Linked DNA regions of Caenorhabditis elegans. The protein of the gene in region 2 purifies or fractionates together with the protein of the main gene of each other region. This does not show direct contact. Each region holds a gene or a part of one and is shown on either strand. Other genes may lie near its edges.

What was found. The genes of interacting proteins can lie anywhere in the genome.
Region 1: the proteins of cdk-2 (region 2) and Y51H7C.3 fractionate together in Caenorhabditis elegans (co-fractionation; one large-scale study listed by BioGRID). This does not show direct contact.

What each region holds. Positions count from the first base shown.
Region 1 is NC_003280.10:1,436,986-1,440,237, reverse strand, and holds Y51H7C.3 (Lzipper-MIP1 domain-containing protein), read right to left. Parts: upstream 1,749-3,252; 5' UTR 1,729-1,748; coding exon 1,695-1,728; intron 1,123-1,694; coding exon 1,016-1,122; intron 969-1,015; coding exon 867-968; intron 818-866; coding exon 635-817; 3' UTR 541-634; downstream 1-540. Other genes in the region: Y51H7C.12 (Nucleotide-diphospho-sugar transferase domain-containing protein), read left to right, coding at 16-172; nol-6 (Nucleolar protein 6), read left to right, coding at 2,741-2,791, 2,844-2,954, 3,003-3,252.
Region 2 is NC_003279.8:3,408,041-3,416,049, reverse strand, and holds the start of cdk-2 (Cyclin-dependent kinase 2), read right to left. Parts: upstream 6,038-8,009; 5' UTR 6,026-6,037; coding exon 6,004-6,025; intron 5,928-6,003; coding exon 5,700-5,927; exon of another isoform or gene 4,655-5,699; coding exon 4,417-4,654; intron 3,039-4,416; exon of another isoform or gene 3,037-3,038; coding exon 2,970-3,036; intron 2,905-2,969; coding exon 2,746-2,904; intron 1,336-2,745; coding exon 1,078-1,335; intron 1,025-1,077; coding exon 980-1,024; 3' UTR 1-979. UniProt on the Caenorhabditis elegans protein: Serine/threonine-protein kinase which, in association with cye-1, regulates proliferation, quiescent state and cell fate during the development of several cell lineages.

The DNA of each region.
Region 1 (3,252 bases), on a different chromosome or scaffold from region 2:
AGTTACGACTTTCAGAGAAACCATCAAAACAAGCTTTCAATCCCTAATTCGCCAGGATTGGTCCCTGGAAGAGAACTGGTTCGGCTCAGGCGTCTTCTTTTTGAGACACCTATTCAATGTGGATCCAGGACGGCGGAAAGTGTATTTAAAGGCGCATTATCATATTATTTAATTTATTAAAATCGTTTTTAAAGTCCCACAATGTTTTATTTCTATTAAAAATCATGATTTTGCCAAATTTATGTGGAAAAATGCCAAAAAAGCAGCAGTGGTCTGCTAAATATCATTTTGTAGTTTGTAGTCTAGCAGACCAAATTTTATTAGAAACTGGTTGGGACTGTTAAATATTTTTTGTAGTTTGTAGTCTAGCAGACCCAAATTTTTAGAAATTCGTTGGTCTGCTAATGTTTTTTTTGTAGTTTGTAGTCTAGCAGACCAAAATTTATCAGAAATTGGATTGGTCTGCTAAACATCATTTTGTAGTTTGTAGCCTAGCAGACCCATATCTTCTGCATTGCAACTCCACGAAAAATGTAGTTTGTAGTCATCTGTAAGCCTTCATTACTCTGAAAATCGCTTTTTACACAAATTTGACAAGAAAATTAAAAGTGCGAATAAAAATTAGTAGATCAAATTAGTACTTTTCGATAGATTTCTCTGATTTTTCCGATTTCTCGCCGAGTTTCGCAGAGCTTTGCCATTTTGCACGCTCCCCCTCTTCTTCGGCATATTGCTCGTGTTTTTGCTGAAAATCTCTCTTAGAGGTCTCCTTCGGCGTGCTCGAATCGATCGGAAGTCCACAATAATGATCGGTGACCTGAAAAATAACGTTTTTAATGCGAAAATCGATTTAAAAAGGTGCATACATTCGAGGAATCCGTGTTGAAGGACATATCGGTCGACGAGACGCTGACTGTTGACACGTGGCGAACTGGGAGCCCGTTGCGGAGCTCTTTGATCACTTTTTCCTGAAAAAATTGAATTAATCATGCTTAAACGCTCGAAAATAGCCAACTTTTTGTCTTCTGGTCTCTTCGAGCTCCATTTCCAAGAGGAAAGCCTTCTCTTCGAGGCGGTGCAGGTTCACTTCGAGACTTCGACGCTTTTTGGCTGCACGATCACCTGAAAAAGGGTAATTTTGAAGAAATTTAGGTCAAAAAAGCTTTATTTTAAGCGAAAATTGCCTATTTTTCAATGAAAAACGCTCTGGTCTGCTAAATATTCTTTGTAGTTTGTAGCCTGGCAGACCCACTGAATTTCGAGTTTTCTGGCGGTTTTTCATTGATATTAAAGTCCGGTTATTTGGAAAATGTTAGTTTTAGTGATTTTAAGGTGTTTTTAACTTAGTTAAAAGTCTAAAATCATTTAATTTGAGCGAAAATCGACTAAATTTCAAAGAAAGGACCGATTTTTATACGAATTTTAGCAAAAAAAAATGGAAAAAATCATTTAAAACTATCAATTTTGCACTTAAAATTAAGATTAAGTATAAAAATTAAATAAAAATTGCGAAAATGCATGTTTTAATAGGATTTTCCCGATAATGGTCTGCTAAATCGAATTGTGTAGTTTGTAGTCTAGCAGACCAAATCTCTTCACAATCCTATTGGTCTGCTAAATCGAACCTTGTAGTTTGTAGTGTAGCAGACCAAATGGAAAAATCTGATTTTTGGGGTTTTTAAGGTAAAACTCACGTTCAGAGCCGAGAATTGATGTCAGGAACTTCATTTTTGCGTCGCGGGAGCTTGCTGAAACAAATTTGAATGAACGGAAACGAGAAAACTGAGAGAAAATGGAGAACGAAACGAAAAGAATTAATTAAAATGATGGATAGCTTTGTGTGTGTGTGTGTGCGTATCGGTCCAAAAACAAGCCTATAAATTCAGTGAATTCGCATCTTTTTTCGCTTTTCTTTCTAGAAATAAATTCCAGCTGAATCGGCGAGAGGGAGAGAAGAAGAAACTACAGAATTTAAAATTCATCAGAGAATTCGAAAGAGTTTGTGATGAAAAGAAAACAAAAAATAACATTGGAAATTTCATGAATATTTGATGAAAATTCGTAGAAAACTGGAAAATTGATTTTTTGGAGGGAAATAATTTGAAATTCAAAGTTTGGCGGCAGCAGGCAGGTTGCGTACTTTTGCGTACTTGGCCTTTTAATTGACGAGCAATAAGGGGTACTGTAGGAACTTTTAAATTTGATTTTTAACATGTTTTTTCATAAAAAATTGTTTTTTAGCTCTAAAAATTTAGAAATATGATCGTTTCAAAGTTAAAAAAACATTTTAGACTTTATTTTCAAAAATTTATTTCGAAAACAGACGTTAAACACGTCTTAATCTGTGTTTTTCCCTGAAAAATGTCCCAAAACTCTGCAGTTTTTCATTTTAAATCCTTTTTTTGTGTTCTAATCTGTCATTTCCCTTGTTTTCCCCGTTTTCCACTCAATTTCTGCTTTTGAAACTCCGCCGAAAGCAGGCAAACGACACTCCGAAATCCCGCAGTAACGTGTTGTTTATCGTAAATCGACAGAGACACTCTATTTTATTTTTTGTTGATTTTAGCCTTAAATCTCGAGTTTTCAATGATTTTTTCTAGTTTTTGAATGTAATTTTGTGAAATTTAAATGAAAAACTGAATATTTGTCATTTCTAGTGTATAAATTGGTTTTCAAAATTGGTTTTAGCTTGAAAAATTGATTTTTGGGAGCAAAATACTAATAAATTCTATTTGCAGAGATGGAGACAGACGGAGATGTGCTCCCAATGTCGAACGCCTTCAAATTATTGGTAAATCCCAAAAAAATCGATTTTCAAGCAAAAAAATTGTTATATTTTTCAGTGCGAAGACACCGCTCCAAAATCCAACAAAAAACTCATCGAAAAGCAGCGTCAAATCGCTCAAAAAATAAAAAATGTGCTGGAAACCTCGAAGAATGGCCCGAAAATTCAGGTTTTCCCTTTAATTAGTGAAATTTTAGGCCAAAATTTGAATTTTCAGTACAAAAATCTCGATTTCTGGACAGAATTCGACGTTAAACATCCTCTGCATCATCTTCAAAAGGCTGTGGATGCCACGTCGTCGAGTATTCCGGAATTTCAGTGGACACCGCCGAAAAGCATCGTTATCACTGAAAAAGGGCAACAAATTTTCATTGAAATTCCGCCAAAAGCTCTCGGAAATCGCGATTTTCTCAATTTGACCTACGCGGCGAAGCGGGGACATTTCGCGTGCCACGTGGCGCGGCTTC
Region 2 (8,009 bases):
ATTTGTAGAAATTCCCTTGGAGCAAAATAATAATAATAAAAATAATAATGCGATAAAACGTCTGGAGCAAAATAGGTGGGAAAATTATGATACAAAATGAACGATGAAGCAGAAAGAGTGGGTGGAGAGCAAGGGAGACATCGAATTTTTTTTGAGTTTTTCAGAGAAATTTCAAAAATTGAAAAAAAAATGTTTTTGGATCAGAAAAAAGCATAAGAAAACATGTAATTTTTTCAAAAATTGAAAAAAATTACCAAAATTTGAAGCTATTTTTCTCAAAAAAAAATCAGAAAAGCGAAAATTCTCGATTTTCTCTAAAATCGAAATTTGATAATTTTTTTCAACTTTAATTTTTCCTAAAATAATCAAATTTCTGAAAAAATTTTTTTTTTAATTCTGAACATTTTGACCATTTTTTAGTTGAAAAATCTGTTTTCTCTCAACAAAATTTGGGAAAAAATTTAATTTTTTAGATAAAACTTTTTTTCCCGATTTTTTGAAAAAAATTGATTTTTGGAAAAAAAAATTTCCGATTTGTCGAAAAATATATTACAATTTTTGTAATTTTTTTCAGAAGAAAATTATGTTTTCTTACGTTTTTTCTCACTAAAATAAACGAAAAAAATTAATAATTTTTTTAGTAGAAAAATATGTTTTTTTTCTCACGAAAATGATAAAAACCTAGAAAAATTGAATTTTTTGAATAAAACAATTTTTTCCGATTTTTCAAAAATAGCTCAATTTTTTGCAATTTTTTTCTTTTTTAGTAGAACAATATATGTTTTCTCATGTGTTTTTCTTATCAACATGAACAAAATTTGATTTAAAAAATTGCGCTTTTTTTTTCGATTTTTTTGAATTTCTCTGAAAAAACCCAAAAAAATCGATAATTTCGTTCGATGACACCCTTGAAGAGGAAAGACTCGGTAAAAAGAGAGGACATAGTACACGATGTTTAGGTTATGGAGGACATGATATATTAGAAGATTGACTTCTCCTGATGATTGTTCAGCAGCGGTGGCGTCTGAAATAATTTTTTTTCATTAAAAAAATATCCAAATATTCCAGTAACTTTACCCTGTTCTGCGCTCGGATATCCTTCATCAAATCAGTGACACTCGGCCGGTTTTGGGTGAAACCGTTCTGTAGAAAGTAGCGATGAGAGAGAGCACCTTTCGCGGTGAGACGTCGCTCCGGTGGATAACGAAGTATCTCACGAAGCACGTCAAGACCATTTCCAGTCAGGCATGATGTTTCTTCGAGCTTCTTCAAATTCACCGGCCACTGTGGAAAGACTGCCTTGTAGTGGGGAAACGAGTCGACGCCTGGCCAGCTCTGCAAAAATTATTCGAATTTAAAAGTTTTTTGAATAATTTAAAGTCACGGGGTTCTGGCCTTCCTCATTAAATTTTTCGCGCTCCATCGACAATCACCGTGGGAAAGTCGTGTACTTCACACGGACAAATACATTTAGTTTTACAACTAAAATCGAGCTGCGACGCGACACGCAACGCACCGTAAATCTACCCGAGATATGGCCGAGCCAAAATGGTCTAGTTCGGCAAACTCTTCCATTTCAATTTATGAGGAAAGCCAGAAATCCGTGTAGAGTGTATTCGAGAAAATTTAATTTTTCAAATAAAACGCTTTTTTTCCCGATTTTTCAACAAAAAAATCTTTTCAAAAAGAGTTGAAAATTTTGGACTTTTTCTTCTTTTTAAAGGAAAATAATCGAAATTTATGTTTTTTTTTGGAAGAAAAACAATTCAATTTTCCGAATAATATTTTCACACTTCGCCATTTTTGTTTTTTTTTTTTGAAATAATAAAACACAAATATATTACGGTAACACAGAATTCTGAGAATGCGTACATTGAGCAACATATTTGACAAAATATCTCGTAGCGAAAACTACAGTAACTCTTTAAACCACTACTGTAGGGCTTGTGTCGATTTACGGGAACTCGATTTTTGAAATGAAACTTAATTTTAATATTCTATCGTTATTTAAATTAATAAATTATTTTAATTCATTTTAAAAATCGAGCCCGTAAATCGACACAAGCGCTACAGTAGTCATTTAAAGAATTACTATAGTTTTCGCTACGAGATATTTTGCGCGTCAAATAGGTTGCGAAATACGCATTTTCAGAATTTTATGTTCTCGTAATATATTTGTATTTTATTATTAAAAAAAAACATTATTTCAGTGGAACAAAAATCGCGAAATTTGAAGATATAAAACCTAAATTTCGATTATTTTCCTCTAAAACGAAGAAAAAGTCCAAAATTTTAAACTATTTTTCGTTTCCGAATACTCGATTTTTTTGTTGAAAATCGGAAAAAACGTATTCTATGGTTTAATTCAGTTTTTCACTAAATTTCGGGGAGGCGAAAGATTTCTGAAAAAAAAAATTTTTTTAGATTTTTAAAGTTCATCTCGCGCTTCTCTCGAAATCCCATATTTAAAAATTCTGCAAAACCCAGGAGTTGAGAAATACAGTACTCCTCAAAGGCGCACACGTTTTCACATTTCACAAAACCACTCGTTTCGAGACCCTGTGCCGTATTTAAAATCGCCAAAATATCGCATATGAGTGATATTGAAATGTGATGAATTATTTTCAAAATTAAATCTCATAAATCGAATATTTTCAGAGATTTTCAGTTTTTCTAAACACAAATTATTCACAGTGTACTTCTGGGACTCTAAATTCGAATTTTCCTCTCCAAATCGGTATAAACCTTAATATTTGGTGTTCCAACAATTTCAAATATCTTGAATAGCTGTGAAATCTCGCATTCGCCTGGAAACAGAGGCTTATTCGATGCAATTTCGGAGAATATACATCCCAGCGACCACATATCCAGTGATGTTGAATAACGTTGCGAGCCGAGCAGAATCTGGAAATATTATTTTAAATAAAATTAAATAATTGAATAAAATAATTTCAGAATGTTGAAAATACCTCTGGCGGACGATACCAAAGAGTTACCACCTCGTGAGTATAGTTTCGACTGGGGAACGAGAAATTTCTGGAATTAACAAAAAATTTGATTAGGAAATTCAAACCCCTTATTAAAATTTTCCTGATACCGAATATAAATGTGAAAAATTCAAAAAAAAATCCCTGATTTTATATTAATTTTTGAAAATCCGAAAATCCACCTAGTGTTAGATTCAAACGACACATTTTGCATGATAATCGTGTGGATTTACGAGATTAATATTTTTCATCTATTTTTATAAAATGTCCATACCAAATTTCCCGATTTTCATTTTTTTTTGTTGTTTTACATTGAAAATCTTGTGATTTTCATTAATTTTTCAATTTTTACTAATGAAAGGAAATAAAATGTAAAAATTTTGGTTGTTTTAATTAATAAAAAAATCATACATTAGTGGAAATCACCAGAATTTCAATGTAAAACATCGGAAAATCAGAAAAATCGCGGTGAAAATCAGATACAAATGGATGAAAAATATGAATCTCGTAAATCCACACCTGCGGCACGGTTATCTTCCAAATATTTTCGTTTGAAGTTAACACTATAGCACGTGTTTTCAGCTCGACCATTCGGTGTAATTTGTGCAAACACCGTCTCGCGCAAATGCAGACATTTTTGCATGCGCTGCGGTGAAATTCCTCTTGGCGAATTCAAATATGTTTTCACGCCTTTTTCGAAAATTTTCGATGCGTTGGTCGAGCTGAATACACGTGTATAGGTGAATTTTTGGATTTTAATAAATTAAATGGGGAGTAGAGTTTGTGTGTATTTTGCTTAAATATACTAAAACTGGTCCAAAACCACCGAATTTCATAAAGAGACTTCACAAAAAAATTCCAAAAATTTTTTATGGCGGGTCAGAATTTCGAAAAAAAAGGAGGCAAATTTTGCTAAAATCGAAAATTTGAAATTTCGCACACTTTTCTTTGTCACAGCCGCTGGATTCTAGTTTTTCTAAAATTATCATCCTTTAATCCTTATTTTGGTAGATTATCTCGCGGAAATTGGTTGATTGAGACAATTTTTAGACCTATAGGCATCCAAAAATGATCAAAATTGGATGCCTATCGACTCAAAATGTGTTTCAATAAACGAATTTCCGCGAGATAATCTACCAAAATAAGGATTGAAGGGTGATAATTTCAGAAAAACTAAAATCCAGCGGCTGTGACAAAGAAAAGTGTGCGAAATTTCAGATTTTAGCAAAATTTGGCTCTTTTTTTCGAAATTTTGACCGGTCATAAAAAAATTTTGGTTTTGGACCGGTTTTAGTCTATTTAAGCAAAATACCCAAAAACTCTACCCTCCCTGAAAAATAATAAAAGGAAATTTAAAAAAAAAATTTTTTTTCAAATCAAAATATTCGGTATCAGCAGCATAAATAACATCTATAGAACATTTTTTGACCTTGCCAATCCGAAATCCGCAATTTTGATGACTCCAGAATCTGAAACCAGAATATTCTGAGGCTTCAGATCACGGTGAACAATCCGTCGGAGATGACAATACGATAGAGCTGATAGAAGTTGCCACATGAATGACTTCACATAGTTTGGCGGAAGCACACTATTCGTTGGCTCAAGCATTTCCAGAAGATTCTTCAGATCTCGATCGATAAATTCGAATACCATGTAGAGTTTGCTGTCTGGAAATTGATTAATTAATTGTTTTAAATTTAAAACTTAAAGGTGGTGTAGTCGAATTTTTTATTGCTTTATTAGACCCAAAATTGCCTAAAAACACTGAATTTCATACTGCTTGAAAACTTCTCAAAAAAAATGTTATTATAGTTCAAAAAATGGCCTGAAATTAGTTAAAATTTGAAATTTGCCCGACTTGTCAAGCGGCTAGAAACTAACTTTTTTGAAATCACCGTCAAATTTTGAGTATACAATGTAATTATCTTGCGTTTTCAGCTCGATTTAGGTATTTTAAAGTCGATGGACGGTGAGAAAAGATTTTTTAATTTTTAAAATCAAATCTCGCAGTCCATCGACTTTAAAATACCTAAATCGAGTTGAAAATGCAAGATAATTACATCGTATGCTCAAAATTTGACGGTGATTTCAAAAAAAAAATAGTTTCCAACCGCTTGGCAAATCGGTCAAATTTCAAATTTTAACGAATTTTAGGCCATTTTTTTGAGCCGTCATAACATTTTTTTTGAGAAGTTTTCAAGCAGTATGAAATTCGGTTTTTCAGACAATTTTGAGTCTAATAAAGCAATTTTAAAAATTCGACTACACCAATTTTAACATTTTAGTAGTTTTTCGATTTTTTGTGGGAAAAAATCGCATTTTCAGCCATTTCTCTAATATTTTGGCCACAAATTCTTTTTTTCTCATCAAAATCAACATATTTTTCATAAATCTAGGGGATTTTCTACTTTTTTCTCAATTTTTCGATTTTTTTCACTTGAATAATCAAAAAATAACATAAAATGTAAGGTCGTTCAATCTGAAAATAACATTTATTTTTAGAAATCCTAGAAAAATACCTTAAAAAAGGGGATTTTTCGAACTTTTCCGCAAAAAAAATATTACTTACAGATTGAACCAAAATTTTTATATCTTTTTATCAATTTTTAGCAATTTTCACACCGATTTTCCAGTATTATGAGTCTCATGAATTTTTTAAAATTTAAAATTTGAAACTTCAAATTTCAAATTAATCAGCAAAAAAAGCCTCACTTGCGTAGATAATATCGAAAAGTGTCACAATATTATCGTGCTGAAGGTCTTTTATACACGAAATTTCACGAAGGCACGTGCTCGGAATGCCTTCCTCGTCGCGATCGGTGCGAATCATTTTGAGAGCGCATTTCACGTTGTCACGCACGTGGATCGCCTTGAACACGACTCCGTACGTTCCTTCGCCGATTCGCCGGAGTGAGCAAAAGCGACCTTGCAGGTCTCTTTCTGAAATGGGAAATTATTTTAATTATTTATTTTTTATTAAATATTGAAAAAATGAAAATCTCGGAAAAAAGCTTACCTGGAGCGATATCGGTTGTCATATCCCGTTGTTTTCTGGAAGATAATTAAGATTTTCAAAAAGGATTTAACGGTAAAGAGTTTCTCAAAGAATGACGGGTTTTGAATTCTGTTTTCCCGCGCTACACGAAAAAGAACAAGAGACGCAGCAGGTTAGACAAAAGGGCAAATGAGACGGTCTACGGGGGGTGACCGGTGTAATGTGGTAAGGAAAGGACGCGGTATTAAATAAAATTGCACAAGAATCGATACATTTAACAATTTTTTTTAATTAAAAAAAAACACTTTTGAACAGGGAAACCCGTAGTGATCATTTAAAAATATGAAAAAAAAAATTAAATTTCAATAATTATTTGATGAAAAACTTAAAATTCTTAAAATTATATACTTTCCTAGGCTTAATAATCGCTAAAAAAACGTTTTAACGCCTCTGCGAACCAAATTAAAAATTGTTTTTAGGAATTGCCGCAATCACGCTCCACTGATAATCCTTCTCTGCGAAAAACCGAGGGAATTCAAATTCCAAAGGATATTCTGGAATATATTTATTTGTCGTTAAATTAAAGGCGATTTTGGAATAAAAATCTAATTATTTTCGACATTAAATTTTAATATTAAAACGAGAATTCTATAAACGCAGTTTATTGACTTTCTTCTCCCCCCTCGAAATGGGGAATAAAAAAACAAAAAAGGAAGTCAATAAATCTCCAACATCCAATTATTTTGCATCTGGACGCATTCGGAAACTCTCAATTAACCGCGCCGTCTTTTCGAAAGAACAGCTTTCTAAGATTTTGTGTATATATATATTGAATGTATTTATTTGTTTTTTTTTCAGGCTTAGACTCCTATTTTCTCGAGTAAATTCAAGTTAAAATGGGGTCCTGGTACGATCGAATTACTACTACTATTACGGGCAATTTAGCGATTTTTCGCAAAAAAACACACTACCTGGTCTCGACGCGACAAATTTTAGTGAAATGCAAACGGGTGCGCGCCTTTAAAGAATACTGTAATTTCAAACTTTCATTGCTGCGGATTTTTTTCTATTTTTAGAATTTAGGCATGTTTTTTGAATAATTCTTAGTTAAAAAAATGCATTCGAAAATTTAATAATATTGGTTTTTTCTGAATAAGAAACACAAATATATTACAGTAGCACAATATTCTGAGAATGCGTATTGCACAACATATTTGACGCGCAAAATATCTCGTAGCGAAAACTACAGTAATCCTTTTTAAATGACTACTGTTGGTCGATTTAAGGGCTCGATTTTTTGAAATGAATTAAAATATTTTTTTATTCAACGATAGAGTATTAAAATTAAGTTTCATTTCAAAAATCGCTCGCGTAAATCGACACAAGCACTACAGTAGTCATTTAAAGAATTACTGTAGTTTTGATATTTTGCGCGTCAAATATGTTGTGCAGGATGCATTCTCAGAATTTTGTGTTCACGTATTGGTAGTTTTTGGTAGTTTTTTGAAAATATCTATTGAAAAAAACTTTTAAAAAATCATTTAAAATCAAGAGAATCCCAAAAATTCTGAAAAAAAGCTACCATAACTTTTCATCGCGGCGAGACCCGTGCCCCTTTAGTAGAACGGGTTACGGTAACGGAAAACTTTCTTTCGTTTCAAGACCCAAGATCGCAATTTTAAGTCAAAATTTGAATGAAAAAATGCACTTTCTTTCAACTTTTTTCATTTTTCCTCCGAATTTTCAATTAAAATCGGCAATTTCCAGATGTCTCCCTCTCCACTTCTCCTCGTTTTTCATTTTTCTCCACACTCGCCGGTCTACATTCATGCATTTCTTCTTGTAATTTCTCCTGATTTTATGGATTTTTTTTGTTGCTCCCGTTACTTTACACACACTTTTACCCCCTCTAAGAATATTGGACACAGACGCCTGATTGCACAAAGAACTTGTAACACCTGATGAGCATTTTTTCGTGTGTGTTTTCTCGAGCGTCCGAGATGATGGATTCGAGTGACCGAATCTCT